Linked DNA regions of Drosophila melanogaster. The protein of the gene in region 3 interacts with the protein of the main gene of each other region in a pairwise test. Each region holds a gene or a part of one and is shown on either strand. Other genes may lie near its edges.

What was found.
Region 1: the proteins of CG7656 (region 3) and CG42369 interact in a two-hybrid assay, tested with the Drosophila melanogaster proteins (one large-scale study listed by BioGRID).
Region 2: the proteins of CG7656 (region 3) and AstC-R1 interact in a two-hybrid assay, tested with the Drosophila melanogaster proteins (one large-scale study listed by BioGRID).
Region 4: the proteins of CG7656 (region 3) and Rexo5 interact in a two-hybrid assay, tested with the Drosophila melanogaster proteins (one large-scale study listed by BioGRID).

Annotation. Positions count from the first base shown.
Region 1 is NT_033779.5:6,395,312-6,399,148, forward strand, and holds CG42369 (uncharacterized protein), read right to left. Parts: upstream 1,939-3,837; 5' UTR 1,783-1,938; coding exon 577-1,782; 3' UTR 542-576; downstream 1-541.
Region 2 is NT_037436.4:18,558,552-18,563,273, reverse strand, and holds the start of AstC-R1 (allatostatin C receptor 1), read right to left. Parts: upstream 3,017-4,722; 5' UTR 2,570-3,016; intron 1-2,569.
Region 3 is NT_037436.4:15,585,568-15,589,882, forward strand, and holds CG7656 (uncharacterized protein), read right to left. Parts: upstream 2,609-4,315; 5' UTR 2,488-2,608; intron 2,301-2,487; exon of another isoform or gene 2,030-2,300; 5' UTR 1,999-2,029; coding exon 1,438-1,998; intron 1,034-1,437; coding exon 635-1,033; 3' UTR 513-634; downstream 1-512. Other genes in the region: RhoGAP71E (Rho GTPase activating protein at 71E), read left to right, coding at 3,981-4,315.
Region 4 is NT_037436.4:6,601,938-6,609,241, reverse strand, and holds Rexo5 (RNA exonuclease 5), read right to left. Parts: upstream 5,559-7,304; 5' UTR 5,349-5,558; intron 5,280-5,348; 5' UTR 5,058-5,279; intron 4,877-5,057; exon of another isoform or gene 4,565-4,876; coding exon of another isoform or gene 4,040-4,564; intron 3,968-4,039; coding exon of another isoform or gene 3,666-3,967; intron 3,610-3,665; coding exon of another isoform or gene 3,333-3,609; exon of another isoform or gene 3,210-3,332; intron 3,064-3,209; exon of another isoform or gene 2,948-3,063; 5' UTR 2,926-2,947; coding exon 2,164-2,925; intron 2,108-2,163; coding exon 824-2,107; 3' UTR 503-823; downstream 1-502. Other genes in the region: zpg (zero population growth), read left to right, coding at 3,333-3,609, 3,666-3,967, 4,040-4,564; ndl (nudel), read left to right, coding at 6,144-6,162, 6,585-6,728, 6,785-7,304.

The DNA.
Region 1 (3,837 bases), on a different chromosome or scaffold from region 3:
TTTTTTTGACGGCTAACTGTGCCACGGAAACTTCTGCTGCACCGGCAACTCATTTAAGTTCTAATCACCTGCAACGACGACAATTAATTAGCTGGCTTTGGCCAACGACAGCGGCAGCAGCAGTCATTAGTCTGAAGGCCCATCGGTACCACAAGGGAGCCATGATGCTGCAGCTTCAGCTGGAGCTGAAGCAGGAGCAAGAGTTGAATCCTTAGAGCCCTGGCAGCATCTGATAAACAACGAGCAGTGGCAACACCAGGAGAAGCAACACTAACGGCAACATCTGCATAATGCGGCAAAAGGAAGTTGCTGTCCGCTCACCCCGAAGATGTGGAAAGGTGTTCCTGGACGATACTTAAGCGAAATCAGATGCGGCAGACGGATATTAAAAGCAGGCGACAACCGCAGGAACTGGCAAAATGTAATTATGTTGTGAAACTTGTCCTTTCAAACGCTGTCAATTGCAGCACAGGCGATGTCTTCAATATAAGATATTAGTATGTGGAACTATATAGCCAAAAGCACGCAACTCTCATCATTTAAGTAGCAAAGTTTGGTTTTATTATAAATGTCATCTCATCTTAGCTCATTGCACTTGGCCCGGATCATGTTGAAGGTAACCGTGCCGACGCTTTGTGCCGCGTTGTGGAGCAGCTCAAAGATGTGCCGGTTGCGCTGACCCTGCTCCACGGTCCGCTCGTGCAAGCGACGCAGTGCGTCCGAGTAGGCCGTGTACTTGGCCTCGCACTCCGTGTCCAGCTTGAAGACCTGATACAGCTGCTGCAGATCGTACAATTGGCGTGCGGTCTCGTCGTATAGCAAACTGGGTGACTGTGGCAACAGCTGCTCCCAGTGCTCGTGCACCAGGTCTAGGAATTCAAAATTGCTAAAAAGAAAGATGACGAACAGGTCCAGTCCCTTGGTCTTCAGCTGGGCGAGAAGATGTTCGGTGATGTGCTCGCTGCTCGATGTGTCCCGCATCTCCTCGTAATCGGTGCGCAAGTGGTGCTCCAGGTACGCATACACCCGTTGACGTTTCTCGAAGAAGTCCTCCGTGGCAAGCATGACGTCCAGCTGCTGCTGCATCTTGTCCAGCTTGGCACTGCTCCCGGCCAGATCAGCATGGTCACCGTCGATGATGTCCTGCAGCAGGGAACGCAGTATGTGCAGGTAGTTGTCGATGATTTCGGCGCCGGATAACTTGACCCGCTCGTACAGCTGCGCCCCGAACTCATTGAGATCCAAGCCGGTGGAGTTCACCTCCTTTTTGGTCAGATTGAGTTGCCCCAATGCCGCCCCGACTGTCTGTTCGTTGATCAGGCGACTGCCGCGATGAGGAGCCGGTCGGTCAAGTTGCTGGCAGAGGCGGTGCATGCGCATCATTCGGATCTCTTGTGTGCTAGTCTCCTCGGCAGCCCTCAGCGTGGATCTGACTCGGTTCAGAAAGACCAGGTTGCGCAGCACAATGGTGTACTCCATATCCGTGTCCAGGTGCGGACGCACGTCGAGCAGCTGCTTGATGAGCGTCACCTTCAATTGAAGCTTTGGTGTTGCGCGAGCTGCACTCATCTCTTCGGTGTAGTTGGCATTCCGAGGAATGCGTCCTAGACGATCCAGGTAGTCGTTGAGACTCGGTTCAATCCGCTGTTGCACCAGGTCGCTTAACTCGCGCAGAAGCTCCAGCTGGAAGTCCTTCACACCAAGATCCAGCTGGGGAGCAACAGGATCCGCCTGCATGAGCGGCAAGAGGCACACCCATGGCAGCCACCACTCGATCATCATCTTAGAGGGAGCTGGCTCCAACTGATTTTGATTGCAGAAACTGCGTTGTTGTCGCCGCCAGTTGGCTGATTAGACGAAGGGGCTTAGATTGGGGTCAGTAGTCAAGTCGGTGATGCGGTTAGTTCGTCTGATATGCCAAGCCGACCACTGACGATTAACCAGTGCGAAAGCGAACTGCGCTCAGTTCGACAGCCTTATCGCTACGGAGCTGGCACTGAGAGAAATAATGGGTAATCCAATTCGTGCAAATTATATTATATTTTATTTTCTGCTAATAATCGAACGCAAATTAAGGACAGCGAAAATAAGAAAGGAAAGAGTTCAGCGCTGATTACAATTCCTCTGTCAGAAACCAGCACAATTTAATACATAACTTTTTATTTGAAGGTAATGCATTTTTATCCTTTCCCCATTTCGACAACTATTGTTCGTCGAAAGGGCATTAGTGGCAACAACTGACTGGTGAATCGGGATAGGATTGAATGAGGGAATCGATTCGCTGTAACCTGGTGCCCGTGCAACTGCAAATGGCCAGGACATTGGTCCCTACAATGTATCAAATAGTCAGCGCTCCTTCCCAATTTGTCTGTGCGGGCAATTGTTGACCGAACTCAAACTGAGCGCGTGTGCGGGATACCTATCACAAGTTAGCTTAAAGTTGCAGACTGCAGACTGCTGCCATTTGACGACAGAACTTCAGCGGAATCCCAAATGGGATGTGGCATGAATCCACATGGATTCCAAATCAGCGATGCTCGTCGTTCTTCATTCTATGGCGCAGCTTGATTGAAGTTCGTCAAATTGATTGAACTCATGCCACTTCCCCTTTGCCAACTTTTAGCGAAAACACTTGATTTCGATTTCGTTCGAACATTTCTGTGCATTAGCCTTTAATATTCGATCAAAGGGTATCTGCAACCGCATAATGGCCAACACCTTTTAAGACGAAACCCAAAACGCAAAAAAAAACTATGGAAACGGTTTGGCAAAGAGCGTAAAAATGGGGAAAAATGGTTAAGAAAAAATGAAAGGCACACCGATAAAGTTTTTAGGAAAAAAAAAAATGTAAGAAAAAATAAAAGATACCAAAAACCTGAAGAAGAAATTTTCCAACAATTGCACAATTGGCATGGGCTACGCATTCGCTTCAATGGCGAACGACCAAGACACTTTGATTCAAACTGTGGCCAAGGACAAAGGATTTCTGGAGGACGAAAGCCAAGGAGTCATGGCTGGAGGAACGGCTGCCCTCCACATTGCTGGCACTTAAGTGACAAAATCTATTCGCAAGAAAGTCATCTGGTTAGGGTATCTACTAGCCCATAGAGCTTTGCTCCGGTCACTCATGGTCGGTCATTTTATTCTTATACTTCGCCAGTGATGCCTTTGAGAAAAACTTTGCCACTTTTTCCATCATCGCCGACAGTTTTCCTTTTTTTTTTTTTTGTCTTTCTGTTTTTTCGGTAACAAAGCCGAAACTAAACTTTCCAGCGCTTTGCCAGACGGGTGGAAATTCTCGCTGGCCAGGGGCGTGAAAAGCGCTAAAAGCGTTTTAATGATTTTAAAGGAGTTAAACTTTTGTTTTTTTCAAAACACTTCTTATGCGCTTTCTTCATTGTCCGAAAAAATTGCTCTTCTTTTTGAACAATTGTTTTGGTTATACTGTGCTTTGATTTTATCGCTCATCCCGCGCGTTGACCGAGCATCATTCTAAGTTACATTCTAAGTTGTGCTCTTTTATATGAATAAATACCCTGTACTCCTAGAGGCATTGGGTATGCACACATCTATATCCAATAAAGATGTTGGACAGTCATCTGTATAAGAGAATTTTAAGTTCTTTCAGCTACATTACTTGGGATCAGAATTCCCAAAGTAAATACAAATGCGAAAAGTACTTAATGCAAGATTTCATGATTTCCATTTAAATCGAAGATATTGTCATAAAATTATCTCAGTGTATTTATCTGTCCTTCTATTTTGCTTCATTGTTTACTCAACTTGACAGATTAAGTAAATGCTTGAGGGGCCAATATAGAGCATCGCACATACATA
Region 2 (4,722 bases), 3.0 Mb from region 3:
GGGACTTTTTTGGATATTTTTTCGTTCTGATTAAGGAAAGAAAGTGAATTTTGTTTTGGGAAAGCATGAAGGATTGGGATATTAACAACGGTCTAATATTTCAGAACGGTTTCCCCTTTAAGTGAAGTTTGTGGGAATCCCTTGTGCGTTGACTAATTTCCGAGGAATTTCTGTGCATCCTTGGCCATCAATTTGTTGTCAGCAGCTGAGGAGGCGCCACATCAGCATCTCTGGCACTTGTTCCGCCATTTGAATCCGGTGCTCATCCTCTCCCAGTTGGCTGGTCCCTTCTCCTACTCTTTCCCCTTCCCTTTCCCTTGCCAGTGTCCTTGTTCTTGGCTAAGTCGGATCCTTTGAGTTGGGAGGAAATGCTATCATTTGGTGCCTGTCATCGTTGTGTTCGTTGTTGCTGCTGTCTGTTTGCCTGACGCCGACGAAAGGTTAAGGCATGCATCGCTTCCATCAAATTAGACGCATTTTCGACGCGCTTTGTCTGCCAGGCCCTCTCTATCTAGCTCAGTCGTCCGTCTCTTTCTCCCCAACTATGTCTGTCTCTCTCTTCCACACTTTTCCCTACACTTCCTTTACCCACTTTGGCAATTTTCTAGCTGACGCCGCTTTGCCTTTACGTTTTATCACTTCATTTGCACTGAAATGTCAATGTCTGGCTCGTTCCTTTCCCTTCCTTTTTCAATACCTTTGCACAGACTGTTCCCATTTTCACTTATTCAATGGGTTTTAATAAAAGTCCGGGGTGTTTTATACATTTTTTCTTATCTTAACCACATTTTTGCCAAATGCTACTTGGTATCAGAAACATTGACAAAATATGTCACCAATGGTGCAAACCTATAATGAAAGACTACAATTTTTAATGTCTATTCTGTTAAGATCCTTGATTTAAAATTATAAAATAAAACGGATTTAAAAGTGTACAATTTATAGTTTCAAGCTAAAAAATTGCATACTATATCAACTTGATTATAATTCATTTTTAAATGCAAAAGTAAAAGCAAATTAAAACACTTCCGATTTTATGTATGTAATGTATAAACTCACGAACAAAGATTTGTAAATTATATAATTAAAGGGAATATCTGATTTGTAAGAGCAATCCCAGCCTCGTCGGACGCCCAGTTCAGTTTCAAAGAGCATGGCCAAAAAAGTCAGGAAGGAAGCAGTTTTGTTGCAATGACGTGGGCGGTATTTTTTGTGGGTGGGCAATTGCTGAGTGTGGGTGTGTAGGAAGCATTGGATTGGATTGGATGGGAGGGGTTGTGTCCTGGCGCTAAAAGAAATCTGTCTGACAAATTACACGCCCCGAGTTGCAGAGTCGCAGCAGCAGCTGCTGAAACGCTTCGTTTGCTCCTCCTCCGTGACTTGCTCCTTCACTTTCGCCTGCTGTTTGCGTTGTCTTCCCGTGCTGCTTCTAGCTCCACATTCGGACTCAGGCCATCAAACCGATTGACTGAAGGATTGGGCCAGGGCACGTCATTCACTCAGTTAGTCCGTTAGTCAGCGAGTGCAACGGCCTTTTGATTGGGCTTTATGGTCATGGGGTGGCAGTGGCTATCTCCGCCTCCTTGTGCCTTTTAGTTGGTCTTGCGGGGAGGGGGTGTTCGGTTTTAGTGGACTTTACTTAGCTGGATGAGCTCATTCGCCGGGTTATCTGGTGTGAAGGGGGAACTACGGAGGCTAAAGGAACTTGAGTTTCATAGCTGAACAACATAGAGGGCTTCTATAAAAATTGTAAGTAGCTCATAGCTTTGGTTCTGAACCACTTGGTTAACTTTCTCATAATAAAATGGGAATTACTTACAATTAAATCAAGTTTACAAAATTCCACACCCCTAGGAGTAATGAGCCAATAACAAATAATTTCTGCTGCACTTTAATATGTATGCAGGATATTTATTAAGAAAATTACTTGTGGCCTTGGCATTTCTTTTCTTAAATTGGCATTTTTATTCTGCACATCTCACATAACGAATTAATCAACATGTCTCCGTAACAATTTCTGCATTTATTCTCAGCATAGCACTTCTCTGAATAACATTTACGACCATTCCAGCATTCCCTAATTTGTCAAATTTTGTTTCGTTTCCCCAAAATCCTTTCTGGTTTACTGCGGCTGCCGTCGATGGTCAGCCCTTCTCAGTTTCCACATCATCGGGCATCCTCGTTCCTCAACCCATCCCATCGCCTCGTAGGAAGACCAACCTCTTTCCCTCAACGCAAGACATTCAACAGTTACAAATTGCTATTCGCACAGAATTTCAGTTATCTGATAAATTTCAACGCACACAAACATTTGAACGTTGAAAATGGAAAACCCAAGCACAGAGCGAAAGTATTGCAAACCCTTCAAGTTAAACTATATTTATATTTAATTTAAGTTCAAAAACTAGAATTAGGATTATATTTATATGTAGATGAGGAGAGCTTATTTTTTATTTACTATATAGTACATACATATTTCTAATCACATTGGAGATAGATAGCACCCAATCGTTTTAGATGTGCACACAAGGCAACCCGTTCGATGCTCCTCGAGGCACATTTTGCTTACCACTTGAATATATTGTGTCATCTAGCCACTCATCCTTTCGAATCCGATAAAATGGCACACCACGCACTTTTCGGGGTTTTCAAAATATTTGGCAAGCGTTTCTGCAATTCCTCGGATTGCGACGCTAATGTTATTTTTCACTCTACGTCGGATTTATTTGTGATTCGACGGCGGCTGGTAGTAAAATTATTTGTTTATTTTCCTTGCGTTTTTGGCCGCTAATTTGGATTGGATGCAGGCAGCAGGAAAAGCCCCCGGGGGTTATCTATCACCCGCCCAACTTTTTCGCCACTCTCACCCTATTTGGTTTGAGTTTTTCGCGCACGTTCATCGAATTTGGTCTTTGGCGCTGGCGAAGTTTTTGTTTACTTTACCCTGGGTTTGCTCGTAGTTTGGTTTTATATTATTATTTTAGATTCAGATACAGTGACTGAACTGCACGTTCCGGTGTTGTTTTGCATACTGCGCGCCGCATTTGCCGGCGAATTTTGTTATGGTGCATGCGAGTTTTCCGATGCGAATTTTCCGATGCGAGTTTTCCGACTGCAGAGTCGCTCGGATCCACAATTGCGCTCGGTGCTCGGCTTTCAGGTTCGTCGCCCGATTGGCCTGATGCCTGATGCGTGTTGCGGTCTGCTGCCGTTTTCCCAGCTGCAATTTTCCTCAATTAACAGTTGGTCGGGAGAGCACGCGGTGAGGGAGACTCTCCCGCCGACACTTTCTCTCTTATACGAACTCTCACTTTCGTTGGCCAACAACAGTCGAATGTTAGCGCTTGCAGTTCTGTTGCCATTTTGGGCAAGTGCTTGTTGATTCTACTGGTGCCATTTAGAAGGATATAAGAACAAGGATTATCAAAGTATAATATTGAGATGTGTTGTCGCTATAGGTTAATCAAAACTACTTCCATGTGTTATCTATCTCATGCTAAAACAAGAAATTTTAAAAAGTTTTACCTTCCTTTGGTATCATGCTGTTATAAAAATTATTTCCAGTTATTTTGGACCTAAATTTAATTACTCTAAATTTAACATATATTAGCGAGCATATACCCTTATTTTATCAGATTTATAATTCCTTATAATTAAAATGTTCAAAATCGTTTATGGGATGGCTTACCGGCCGTATACGTAATGTGTTATTTATACTTTTACCAAATTCCAATAACACAAATGTGTTTGCATAACATATTATTTTCGGCACAATTGTTTCGTAGTTCAGGTATGGCACTGCATTTAAAATTATATCGGTATTGGGACAGTCAATGTTATAATTATAGTTGCAAATGTACGTGTATTAGCTTGAATTCGGAAAGGCTTTGATTGCTGATTGATTATTCTAGCCTTAATTGCATGCATTTTGCATACAGTTGTTTGCAATAATTGAAATCAGTAATGACATGGAAAGGAGGACAAGAAATGCATGCTCTCACAATTTACTTAGGATATGATATAGCAAGACTGTGCTATATCATATATATATTCTTAAAAACATTAAAAATATGTTCTTGCCTCGTTACCAAACATCACACTCGATATAAATCATTCATACATATTTTTTCCAAAGTTTACAAAGTTAGTTTGCAAATTTATCAGATATTTAAATTAAGTTTGGAAAGTGATTGCGTTTCAGATACCAATCTTTAGTTTCCTCCTACATTTTTTGGGTAAATAAATCATATCTCAGCACTGCCACCGTCTCAGAGCTCCAACTTAAGAAGCCCCAGGCGTCGAAATCTAATTGCCGTGCACTTGGAAAACTATCCACCTGGCCCAAACCCGGAGTTATCTCCCTTGCTCTGTTGGTCATTAGAAGAACAGGAAATTTTCCGTTTTTGTTCGCACCCAACTTGGAAAGAAATTTGCTGCAATAATTTCCATGTGGAGCCAGTTGATGTTTTCGTTTAGAAAAAAGTTCGACTTGGTTAGATGACAGTGAAAAAAAAGCTGGCAAACATATGGTAAGAGTTGGGGGATATCTAGAAGAAACTTTGGAAAGAGAGTGACACAGAAAATATGGCAACTGTCGACGTTCTTCGGAGTCAAACTTTAGTTTGGCCTTTTGAGCAAAACTTTTAATCCTTCTGGTTGAATTTCCGACAGTTTGCTTTAATCCTTTTCCGTTGGCACTGAAAAGTGCTTTAAATGCGACCG
Region 3 (4,315 bases):
CTTAATCGCTATGTTTCCATATTTGCTTTTATTCTTGAAATCCATTGATTGTTTAATATGGTTTTTTTTTCTGTTCTTTACCTTGATGCTGTGTCCATTATGTACGATAGGATGCCGCGTCGCGCGAATTGGGACATTTGTATTTCGTTTCCGCTCATAAAAATGTGTGTATGTATATTTTTAAATATTAAATACCTAGTACATATGCTGTGTATATTGATAATCAGTTTCTGTTTGAGTTTCTTGTGTTATTGGTTTTATTCTTGTTTCTGTGTTGTGTGTTTCTTCTGCGTATAAATGTTTGGATTTGGAGAAGTCCCTGAACTCTTAATTGCTTGCCCACAGGCTGGGAATTGAGTTAGCCCGCATGCATATAACCTGTAGCTTATACGATCATCATCTTAGTTATCAAAGTAAAATTGAGTAGATAAAATCAGCGTAGGACCATTGTTTCAACTACCCTCGGTACATATAAACTTGTTAAATAATTGTTTTCTCAGTTGTTCGGTTTAGTTTCGAAACGTGTATAATTAGAATTAATAATAGTAATAATGTTGGAGAAATTAAAAGGCGGTGGCTCGCCGCCCTGGGCAGGAGTGGGAGGAAGAGATGACGCGACCCTGGCCTGGCTGCATTATGTGGTCTCGCCCTTGCCGCTGTCATCAGCGGATTCGGCATCGTCCGCTCCGGCGGCGGCCGCCTCTCTGACCAGCCCGTTGTTCTTGCACTTGCTGCTGCCTCCATTATTTTTGCTAATCGGCGCCGTGGCACTGTCCTCATCTTCATCCTCGTCCTCATCATCGTCGTCGTCCTCATCGAAGTCATCATCAGATGGCAGATCATCCTCCGTCTCCAGATCGAAATCATCATCGTAGAAGTTGGCATCCAGGCCAGACTCCGTTGTGGGCTTGCGCGTGGGCTTCAGGCAGTAGTCCTCCAGGGTCATCGGAACCACAATGCCCTCCCGCTTGGCCTCGGCATTGGCGGCCAGTGCCTGTTTTCGTATGATGTTTGGATACTCATTGTCCTTACCCTGAAATCAAGCAAGTCCTTATTAAAAAGCCAAGTGGCGTTTGTAAATGCCTAGTATGCGGACTTCAAGCTTTGAATAAGTTACATTGACTGTTCGTGTGAAAAGAGAACGTACTTACAATGTAATGAAGGAAATATGCACGTTCGAAGAACCAAAATCAAGGCATGTAATTAAAAGTGAATTACAATGTTGAATTACAAGTTCAAAAAAGAAGCATTGAAACTGACATTGATTGAAATCAAAGTTAATAAAACTAGTAAACTAGATCTGGGCTTTCGAACTGACTTAGATTGATCTTCGAGTAAAATGACTAGTCCATATTCCAAAGATAAGTTTTGCACTGCTTTCATTATTGAGAAGTCCGCATACTAGACATTTACTATGACTAGATGAGCCAGTCTAACCTGTGAGTCCCGCCATCGGCGGTACATGACCGAGGCGTCCACGTTGGCCGGCGAGAATGTGTTCGGCTCATTGAGCAGCGATATGACCGACAGCAGGATGGTGCGCACATTCTGCGTGGGATTCCAGCGTTCGCAGGGCAGCTCGCCACTCTGCGGATCATCCACCGGCGGATGTAGTATGGATATGCACAGATCACCGTTCTCGTAAACATTCGGATGCCAGACCTTCGTCAGGAAGCGTATGGATGGCGGTGAGTATGGATAGTCGTGCGGGAACTTCATGTGCGCCTTGAAGTAGCCGCCCTGGTAGAGGGTGTCCGGTGGCCCGAAGATTGCCACCTCCCATTCGAACAGATTGTCGTCGTTGATCAGCTTGACGCGGAATCCCTCCACCGGCTCTTCCTGCAGCGACTTGTACTCCATGGCCAGGGCGCGAACGGCCGAGCTGCTGGGCGTGGTTGTGGGGGCAGCGGCGGACGACGAGGTCGCCAAGGATCCAGAGCCCGCCATCATTGTGGAGGACGATGTCGCATGCTGCGATGTGGAGGCGGCGGTGGTCATTTGTTCAGCCACTTGCAGTTGTCGCCGTACTCTGTTGGTAAAGAAGTTTTCCAAATGCCGAGACATGTCAATATTTTGATTTAGGTATGTTTAAATGGAGTGTGTCAAATGGCTACTAGCAACGGCTACTAATTTCATGACCGGGAGTGTCTATGTGCAGGGTCAATATCTTGCTGCCTGCTGATGAATTCAAGGTGAGCACGTCACAAAAGCGATGACTGTGCGGCTGTTCGAAAATACTGGGCTGGGAAAACTGCGAAAATTTGGTCTAAACTCTAGTCTAGTTGTGCGGCGAAATTGCGGGAAATGTACATCTATATTTGTCAATTTTGAAAATGGGGAAAACTATTTTTGCTCTTGACGTTACTCTTGATTTTGTTGTTGTTACTTTCACAGCAGACAACACAAAATTAAATACCGATTTCCAAGTAAAAGTTGAGTGGAAAATTGATTTCCATATAGCAAAGCTGACAGCCCGTCAATACGTACTTGTGTGGGCAATTCTTTTTGACTTCTTGTACGCGCTTTTAATGATTTTTATTATTGTTGTTTGACTTGCAACAATTTCACTTTACAAAACAAAAACCAGGGTGACATTACTTGAACCAGGGATGGACAACCTGAGTCTGCCGCTGAGAAGGTGACGTTTGCGCATGTTTCTCGCCGCGCAGCATGAAGATGGCGTGTGACGTCACAAGTCTCGGCATTCCAGCGAGTTTTGAATTTAAAAGAAAACCTTACGATTTTGAATCGGCAAGCGATGAGTGTTCATTTGAATTAATATTAAGACGCTAAGGTTTGATGCTGCTGTTTTTTTTGGGAGTAGATTTTATAAAAGAATTTAGTTTATAGCTTTACAAATGATTTATTTAAGAAATACATTAGAGACTTATATATGTGGCTAAATAGCGTATTAGTATATTATCAAACGATTTTGAAATTTTCTCATACTTTCGTGAAATATTTATGAAAATATATGTTTAATAAGCAACTTTCTGCCTCCTGCATATCGTATGAAATAACTAATAATAACAGTTAGCAGTTAAGTAGATTTAATTTCATTGTGCATTTGTATAAACTTTGTTAAGCCAAGTTCCCTGATAAAAGTAGTAACATTATGTATTTATTCGTTTTTGGTATTGCATAAGTGCGTTAATTTTTTTTATATCTTTTTATCTTTGGCTTTGGCATTTTGAAACTTAACGAATGCTGGAACACCCCTACTATCACAGTACTTGTGCAGTATAATTTCTTGGTATATTCCGTTGGTATTTCGCAGCGAAGCGCTGAGCCTCAGGCATTCTGCAGCTACCGCTTGATGTCCACACTCCGTTTTCAATATACAGCGAAAAAAGTCGAGCGTGCGGGCGAGCGCAGCAAAATAATTAAACACTCCCCGAAATAACACAACTAAACTAGTGCTAAACTAACCGAAAGTGACGCCGAACGCCGCGTTCTCAACAAATCCAAGCGAAATGCGATAGGCGAGCGTTTAATTCAGTAAGCGAAGGGGCGCAAAAGGCATAGCAGCTCCGAGGCGTTGGCCAAAAAGAAGAAAAGCGCAAAAGAAACGGAGAAACGCAGTGTAAAAGAGAGACGCGAAGAAGAGAAGAGAAAAATGCATACAGCAGGAGTGGTGGCGATTTTTTAATCAAAGCTGGCTTTTCAAAGCTGCTCATTTTGGGCTAAAATCTGGGGCTGCGACGCGAGAGTAGGTGTCGAAAATAAAGTAAAAAATAATAAAAAATAATAAATAGTGAAAATCTGAAAGATATTTTCCGCATATTGGGCAGGCGAACAAATTAACATTCCAGTCAAGTGAACATGTTTGTGGCCAGCATAAAACCATAAAATCTGCCGAGCACATTTTCCTCTGCTCGCTGAAAAACTCGCCAGCACATACATACACGCACACACGCGCACGCAAAAGCACACAAACACAGGCAGGAAGGCAGGGAGGCAGGAAAATCGCGTGAAAAACCATGTCCAGCTGGGCAGAACGCGTCCATAGGCGCGCCGCGGATTTGGGCAACGTGGTGACCTCCTGCGGCCACCCAGCCACCGCTCCCGCCTACCCGTACCGCCTCGAAAAGGTCAAATTCGGTGTGCCGCTGGAGGAGGTGTGCAAGCACAACAACAACATTCCCGGGCCCCTGCTCGTCCTGATCCTCAAACTGAACAAGGAGTCACCGAACCGCCGCGATGTATTCCGCGCACCCGGCCACCAGGGCGCAATGAAGAAGCTCATCCACTTCCTGCAGGCCGGTCGGCTCGTCAACGTGGACAACTATTCGGTGTTCACCATCGCCAGCGTGCT
Region 4 (7,304 bases), 9.0 Mb from region 3:
AGCACGACCTACAGGTCGTATGAGTACTCAGCCAAAAAAGACGCAACATTTTCGAGCGTGTGATAAGACACAGATACTCCGCTGCGGGGACTTTCCCTTTCCAAAGCGACAGAGAGGGAAATGAAAAAGCCAGGGAGAGCGAGAGTGCGTGGGCGCTTCTAGGGAGGAGGCCCAGTTCGGGCTTTCGGGCCGGGCCCTAGACAACGGAGCACCACATTGAGGGAGGTAGGAAATTTGTGGCTCTTATCAACACAGCCGCCTGGCCAGCGAGCACCACCAGCCACATATATCGGGCAATGCAAACCAGACGAAACTGGGTCAAATTCAAGCAGCCAGTTTGGAATGCTCCATCCGGAAAATGTATCGGACGGATACTGGAATTATTTCTAATTGCCTGCGGACACGAACAGTTTTTACGGTTCAATAAACCATGTATTATGTTGACCCTTTCAGAAAATTTTAAAATGGAATCAATAATAATTAGTTTTTTGTATAGTTTTTTCTTTATACAATAATCCATAATAATTTTTACCGCTCATTTAATTTAATACAACTATGCAGAAGCCAATGGAATTTTGTGAAAAAAATTAAATGTACATTTTATTATTCGTTATTGATCGAATTTGTTTTTAATTTTACAATTTTTCATCGATGCACTCATGCATGCAGGACATTTCCCAGGTGTATGGTAATGCAACTGTTGGTCATGTCTTCAGTGTGATACGGTAAATTTGATTTATCTGCTGGATTTCAACACTCAGGACCTTAGTGGGAGCGGGTATCCATGGAGGCGGTTAGCATAAGTAAGGTTCTTAAAAGCTCCCTAACTTTCCATAGTCTGATTCGATCCGTTTAGTCGCTTGATGGCTATTTTGGCTACACCCTTCGAGCACTCTGTGGATCCGCCCATGATGACGAGGAAGAGTCCGTTGTGCGCAACTGACTTCCACAGGCGATCAATGGTCTTGTCCAGTTTGGCAACACTCCGCTGTGCACTGTCCAATATAAAGTCCTGCTCTGGCACGCGGAGGTTGGCAATTGTCAGGGCATTTTCCAGTGCAACTTCATTGACCTTCCGAATGGCTTCCTTGGCCGTAGATACCTCGTGGACATGCACCGACGTACTTTGATCCTTGGGCGCTGCCTCTCCCGCCTTTTCGATCACTTCCTTTAGACGGGGCTGCAGCTCGCCGACCGTGACAATGGCCGTGCGCTTATCCCGCTTTGCCACATGTGCAAACAGATTGTTGGATATGGTATCACCGCTGGATGCGTTCGCCAACTCCTGTAATTGCTTGTGCTGCGTGAGGATCTGGTCTCCGAACTCGATGCTGTTTGCCAGCTTCTTCTTGACGAGCTTCAGCGTGGCTCGCGAATCCTCAATGGAATCGTGACCATCGATGTTCTCCTGGATAATTTCCTGTAAAAAGGTTTTGGCCAGATCCTTCAGCTTGGTCTTGCGTCGTCGCACCCCAGATGTGTTAAAGCACACGCTGGTGTCAATTACATACGGGTGCATCATTTTCATGGCGTTCAAGTCAGAATTTAGAGATTGCCCCACCAGAATGGCATCTGGAGGCAGCAGTTCGGACACTTCCTTTTGCACAACATCCAGCCTCTTGGTCACTTGCTCCATAATTTCTGCGGTTATGCCCGAATATTGGGTTAGATAGTCGGTGATCCGGTTATTTGGCAACACTAGCGTTTCATAAACGGTCTCGTAATTTTCGTTGACAATAGAGATTCGGGTTAGCTCGTTACAACCCGCCTCCGTGTGACACATTTCACAATCAACGCCGAACATAGGACTGCGATTGGTTACCGGTGCATACAGATCCTTGGTAAACTTAAAGTTTTGGAAACGAGTGTGTAGCTCGCCCTGCAATGGAATAGGATAGCCCTCGTCGACCATTTGCAGCGCTGACAGCAGGAGCTTAGTGCGTGGGAACTTGTCATCCTCATGCATGTCATCCGACTCAGATTTAGAGCTTTCGATTGGAAAGATTGTCTTTACAAACAAAGTTGGATCTTTGTTCAGCTCCACAGCCGACTCCAGGGAGCCGTGCTCGTCTATCAGTCTGCGTGCCTGCGCATTGGTGAGAGGAATCTGCAAGAGCAAGGGATATATTATTAGGCAAACAGACAGTTTCAACGAAGCCCTACCTTGGCTATCTCGTCGATAATCTTCTGGCCCTCCTCCTGCGGTGGAAGTATCATCTCCAGCTTCGTGCTGAATATCCTGTTGGTGGCCTCAAACTGGGTCTCGTTAGACAGATAGTGGTAGAGAGATAGTCCCTCCAGAATGACCACCACACTGTGCGACAGACTGAGCCACTTCTCCACGCTGCACCAGCGATCCGGACGGCAGGGGCTCTTCTGGCCAATGAGAGCGCACATCAACAGGTTCTGGATGTCGGTTAGAAAGATGGGCGTACGAGCATCTTGCGGAGTCTCCAGGGAGGCGCGCTGACCCATCTCACGCAGTCGCAAGGCCGGTACGTTCTCCAGCTCCCGTTTGCGACGCCTCAACTCTGCCGACAACTGATTGTACTGATCCTCGGATAGCGAGCCAATCTCCAGCGGCAGGCTATCTCCACCAGCATCGTAATTGCGGATTTTCTTGTTCACCGGCTCTTCAGGATCTGATGTTCCTGGGGCAGTCTGTGAATCCGCCTCCAGCTCGTTGTTTTGACGACGGTTTCGCGGCTTGCGTTTGCTGCCCACCACGATGAAACCGTCGTCCCCGTCCTCCGCCTTCGCTGTTGACTTCTCCTCCACTTCGACCTCTGCATCGCGTTTTTTGGCCAACTCTGCCTCGTGCAATCGATCGCGATCGTTGAGCTCCATCAGGTTCGCCAGGGCCGCCAGCTTCTTTTTCTTCTTCTCGTTGCGCTCGTGCTGCTTGGTGGACATATGTTCCTTCATCCTGGAGCGCTTACCGTTCAAGCTGCAGGCGAAAATACGCAACTTTTATTAAATTAACTCGATTTTCAGTAGATTTCAATTTGTCAACACGAAGATTTAACATGTGCAACGTGCTAGTGTTACCAGATGGTAAAAACAGTTTTTAGCCCCAACAGAGCTGGCAGTCCCGCTATTTTCTCGTCAAATCTGACTTCTTTCCAGCCGAAATCAGTGCCTGCCAAAAGCTGGCTGCTGGAAATTGCGGTTTGTACGTAAGGTTCCCAGGCGTGAGTAAGAAAGAGACAACCATAGTATACATCAACCGTTATGATGCCGCGTGCTTTTGGTACAAGTTAAATCGTCAAACTTTACAACCGCCCCAAAATTTTTGTTTTACGCCCGAAATTAAATAAAATAAATACGCCATCATGTACGCAGCTGTTAAACCGCTCTCCAAGTATCTGCAGTTCAAGTCGGTGCACATCTACGATGCTATTTTCACGCTGCACTCCAAAGTCACAGTGGCCCTGCTTTTGGCCTGCACATTTTTGCTTTCCTCGAAACAATATTTCGGCGATCCCATCCAGTGTTTTGGGGACAAGGATATGGACTACGTGCACGCCTTTTGTTGGATCTACGGGGCCTATGTGAGCGACAATGTGACTGTGACGCCCCTAAGGAATGGAGCTGCACAGTGCCGACCAGGTGAGTTTGGAAATGCTTCAAAGATTCCCATGTTCAGCACGGATTCTTCATTTCAGATGCGGTTAGTAAGGTAGTGCCCCCGGAAAATCGTAACTACATAACCTACTATCAGTGGGTCGTGCTGGTATTGCTGCTCGAGTCGTTTGTGTTTTATATGCCAGCATTTCTCTGGAAGATTTGGGAGGGCGGTCGGCTGAAGCATTTGTGCGATGATTTCCACAAGATGGCCGTTTGCAAGGACAAGAGCAGGACCCATTTGCGCGTACTAGTCAACTACTTCTCCAGCGATTACAAAGAGACCCACTTCCGCTACTTCGTTAGCTACGTCTTCTGCGAAATACTCAATTTGAGCATCAGTGTGAGTGACCAAAACTAGTAATTCAATAATCTACGATATTACTAAAAATTGTAATTATTTGCAACCCCGCAGATTCTAAACTTCCTTCTGTTGGACGTATTTTTCGGAGGTTTTTGGGGCCGCTACCGTAATGCCTTGCTGTCCCTTTACAATGGCGACTATAACCAGTGGAACATTATAACCATGGCAGTCTTCCCCAAGTGTGCCAAGTGCGAGATGTACAAGGGCGGCCCCAGCGGTTCTTCCAACATATACGACTACCTTTGCCTGCTGCCCCTGAATATACTGAACGAGAAAATCTTCGCCTTCCTGTGGATATGGTTTATACTAGTGGCTATGCTCATTTCCCTCAAGTTTCTGTACCGCCTGGCCACCGTTTTGTATCCCGGAATGCGTCTTCAGTTGCTTCGTGCCAGGGCACGTTTCATGCCCAAGAAGCACTTGCAGGTGGCATTGCGCAATTGCAGTTTTGGCGACTGGTTCGTGCTGATGCGCGTGGGCAACAACATCAGCCCCGAGCTATTCCGTAAGTTGCTGGAGGAGCTGTACGAAGCTCAGTCCTTGATCAAAATACCGCCAGGAGCGGACAAGATCTAAGATCTCAGCGATGACGCCAAGTTTAATCTCAATATACTGAAATAGGTATTATCATTTGAATCATCTAGAGTAGAAGACTAAGATGACACAAACAAGAATAACATACATTAATTTTTTCACATCGATATGTGCATATTATCGAAGATATAACGAACTATTATAATTTTTGTGCTAAGAATAATGTGCCATTTTCACTTGTTCAGTAAATTCTCATATTTCTTAATCATCATAAATATTCTTGACCATTTGAATCCTTAATTGGCTTGATATAGATCGAAAACTGAATTTATCTTTAATAAAAGTTGAAAGTGTAAAGAACATAAGCTATTTTCATGCACAGTTTATTGATTGTTAACTGGCCACTATTGTTATTAATCTTTCATCACCATCATTTACCTACATATCACCTACACAATAATTAGTCGTTCAAGGTGGTGTATGAGTATGAGTAACTAATACCTTTTTGAATGAAATGAGTTTATTTGTTACTTACCTTTGCGACCTGGCAATTCTGCGCAGTGCGATTGTCGTTCTGGTCCACATCATGTTTGTTATCTCGAGATAAAGGTTAATATGTTAAGGAACTCTATGCGCATGCCGTGGGAAGGTCCTTGTGTTTGTGTTTGTTTTCTGGTTCCTCCAATGACTAATGACTGGCTGGATCTTGAGGGCATATACTTTCTTTGCTTGCGCATCAATTTTTGTTAATGAAGTTCTGTGGGTTCATGGGAAAACTGGCTAAGACACTCGATTCCTGCACGTTTCATGCGCTGCTGCTACTTACATTCTGTCTGATGGTAAAATTTTGATAAACAATTTTATTTGATTTTCTAAGTAGAATGCATGTGTTTTCTGTTTTACTACCGTTTCTTTTTGTTTTTTATTTATATTTTTCGGTAAATAGTGTTCGTGGTCAAAGCTTTGATGTGTGGAAAAATGTTTTTATTTTTATGCGCTTTACGAAATTTGTAAAAAAAAAAAGGGAAAGAACTGATTTGGAAACTTCTGACACAGGGTTGAGAATTAATGCTGGGCCTGCTTAGCTTACAGTTCTGGTTTCATAGGTGGTGGGCGGCTGGTTCGTTGCTCTGCCATTCCAAAATCCCCTTCAACTTGCACTTTTCGTCGGCCATTTCAGCTGACCTCCGCAGTTGCCGGGCCGCTTTTCATTAACCAAAAAACCATAAACTTCGAAACGTAGCAGAAAAGTGCAGCAGTGGCCGCTGGATGTGGGTCGTTTGCCCGCTGATCCACTTTCCGGAAGCCCTTATAAGCGGCGCATTCACCACCGTCGGATTCAGTTGCTCTTTACCGGCCGGATCGCGCGGAAGTCGTCATCGTAGTGATTATTACCGTTCTGGATTATCGTGCATATCAAATTGCTTTGCGATTGCTTTTTGTGGATTTTTGTTTGAGTGAATCGCTGTAACCTGAGGCTCCTTGTTTCCCGGCCAATTTAACAAAGTGCTTAACATATAATTGAAAGAAATAATCAGCGATTTTGTGGCGTAAAAGCTTATGTGTTAAAAATGTCCAGAGCTTAAGTGAAAAATCCAGAAGATAAATCAATTTATGAATAATGAATTACAACATGGATGGTATGTGTTACTTTGAAATCTTGAAAATAACTTCCGTACTCGTTGGCAAAAAAAAAAATAGGCCAAAAACAATTAATATTTTCACCCACGTCTGTGAACATTTTAAGCCAGAAAGTGAATTCCATAAAATGGTCGAAAGTTCCATTTTATTTTGAACTTGGATCAGCATTATTATAAAAATTATTGCAAAAGTGCTGAACAGGCCAGAAAGTGCTGACCACAATAAATAATAAAAAGTGTTTAATTATGTATGTTGAAAATAAAAGTATGTAGACTGAGTTTTTATAAAAACTGCGAACAAGACAATAAACATACAAGTATGTAAACAGTTTAATACTTAAGCGATTGGCTTACAAAAAATCCATAATTGAACTTGGTTAAGAAATTTCGTTACACTAATCTTCTTAAACGGAATTCTTTAGAGATGGAGGCCACCAGGCTGCTTCGGCATCCGCGACGTTGGTGGAGCATTGGATTCGGCAAACGGATCGTGGCCATCTCGATTCTGGTCATCATCGTGTTGCTATTTTCTCTGGTTTACCACGGGCTAGTGGTGGAGAAAATTGGTAAGTTCGTTAACGAGTTATAATAAGAGTAATAATAACTAATAAATTACTTAAAGATCAAGTGCAGCAGATTGCAGCGCTGAATGCCAGGCACCAGGTGCTTTTCAACCAGCCCTTTGAGGAGGATCAGTCTGCCCTGATTGTGAGTCCTCAAACTTTGCACTTCAAATTGCTCGACGAGGATATGAACAAGGATATGGAGGATAGCAAAAACAGGAGAAGGAAGCATATGCGGCAAATGCTGGTTAAGTTCCGGTTGAACAAGAAACACCGCATGCGGCGTGATTTGCATGGGTTGGATCTGTTGGATCCCGTCCGGATGGAGGCCAATATGCAGCACCTGTACACCAAGCTGCGAAGTAAAAGGGCAAGAGAAGCCCTAAGCCAGTTGGAGCATGAGTTTGTGCGTTGCAAAAAGCATACTCCGCAGGATTGCATGTCCGCCTTTCTGCGCATGTACAAAATGGCAAAGGAGGTGACCGAGAAAATGGAGAAGATGAAGGCCATTATGCGGGAGCAGCAGCCGAAATTGGAATCAAGCAGCATGGAGTCCCATGAACAGAAGGGTACTTTTTC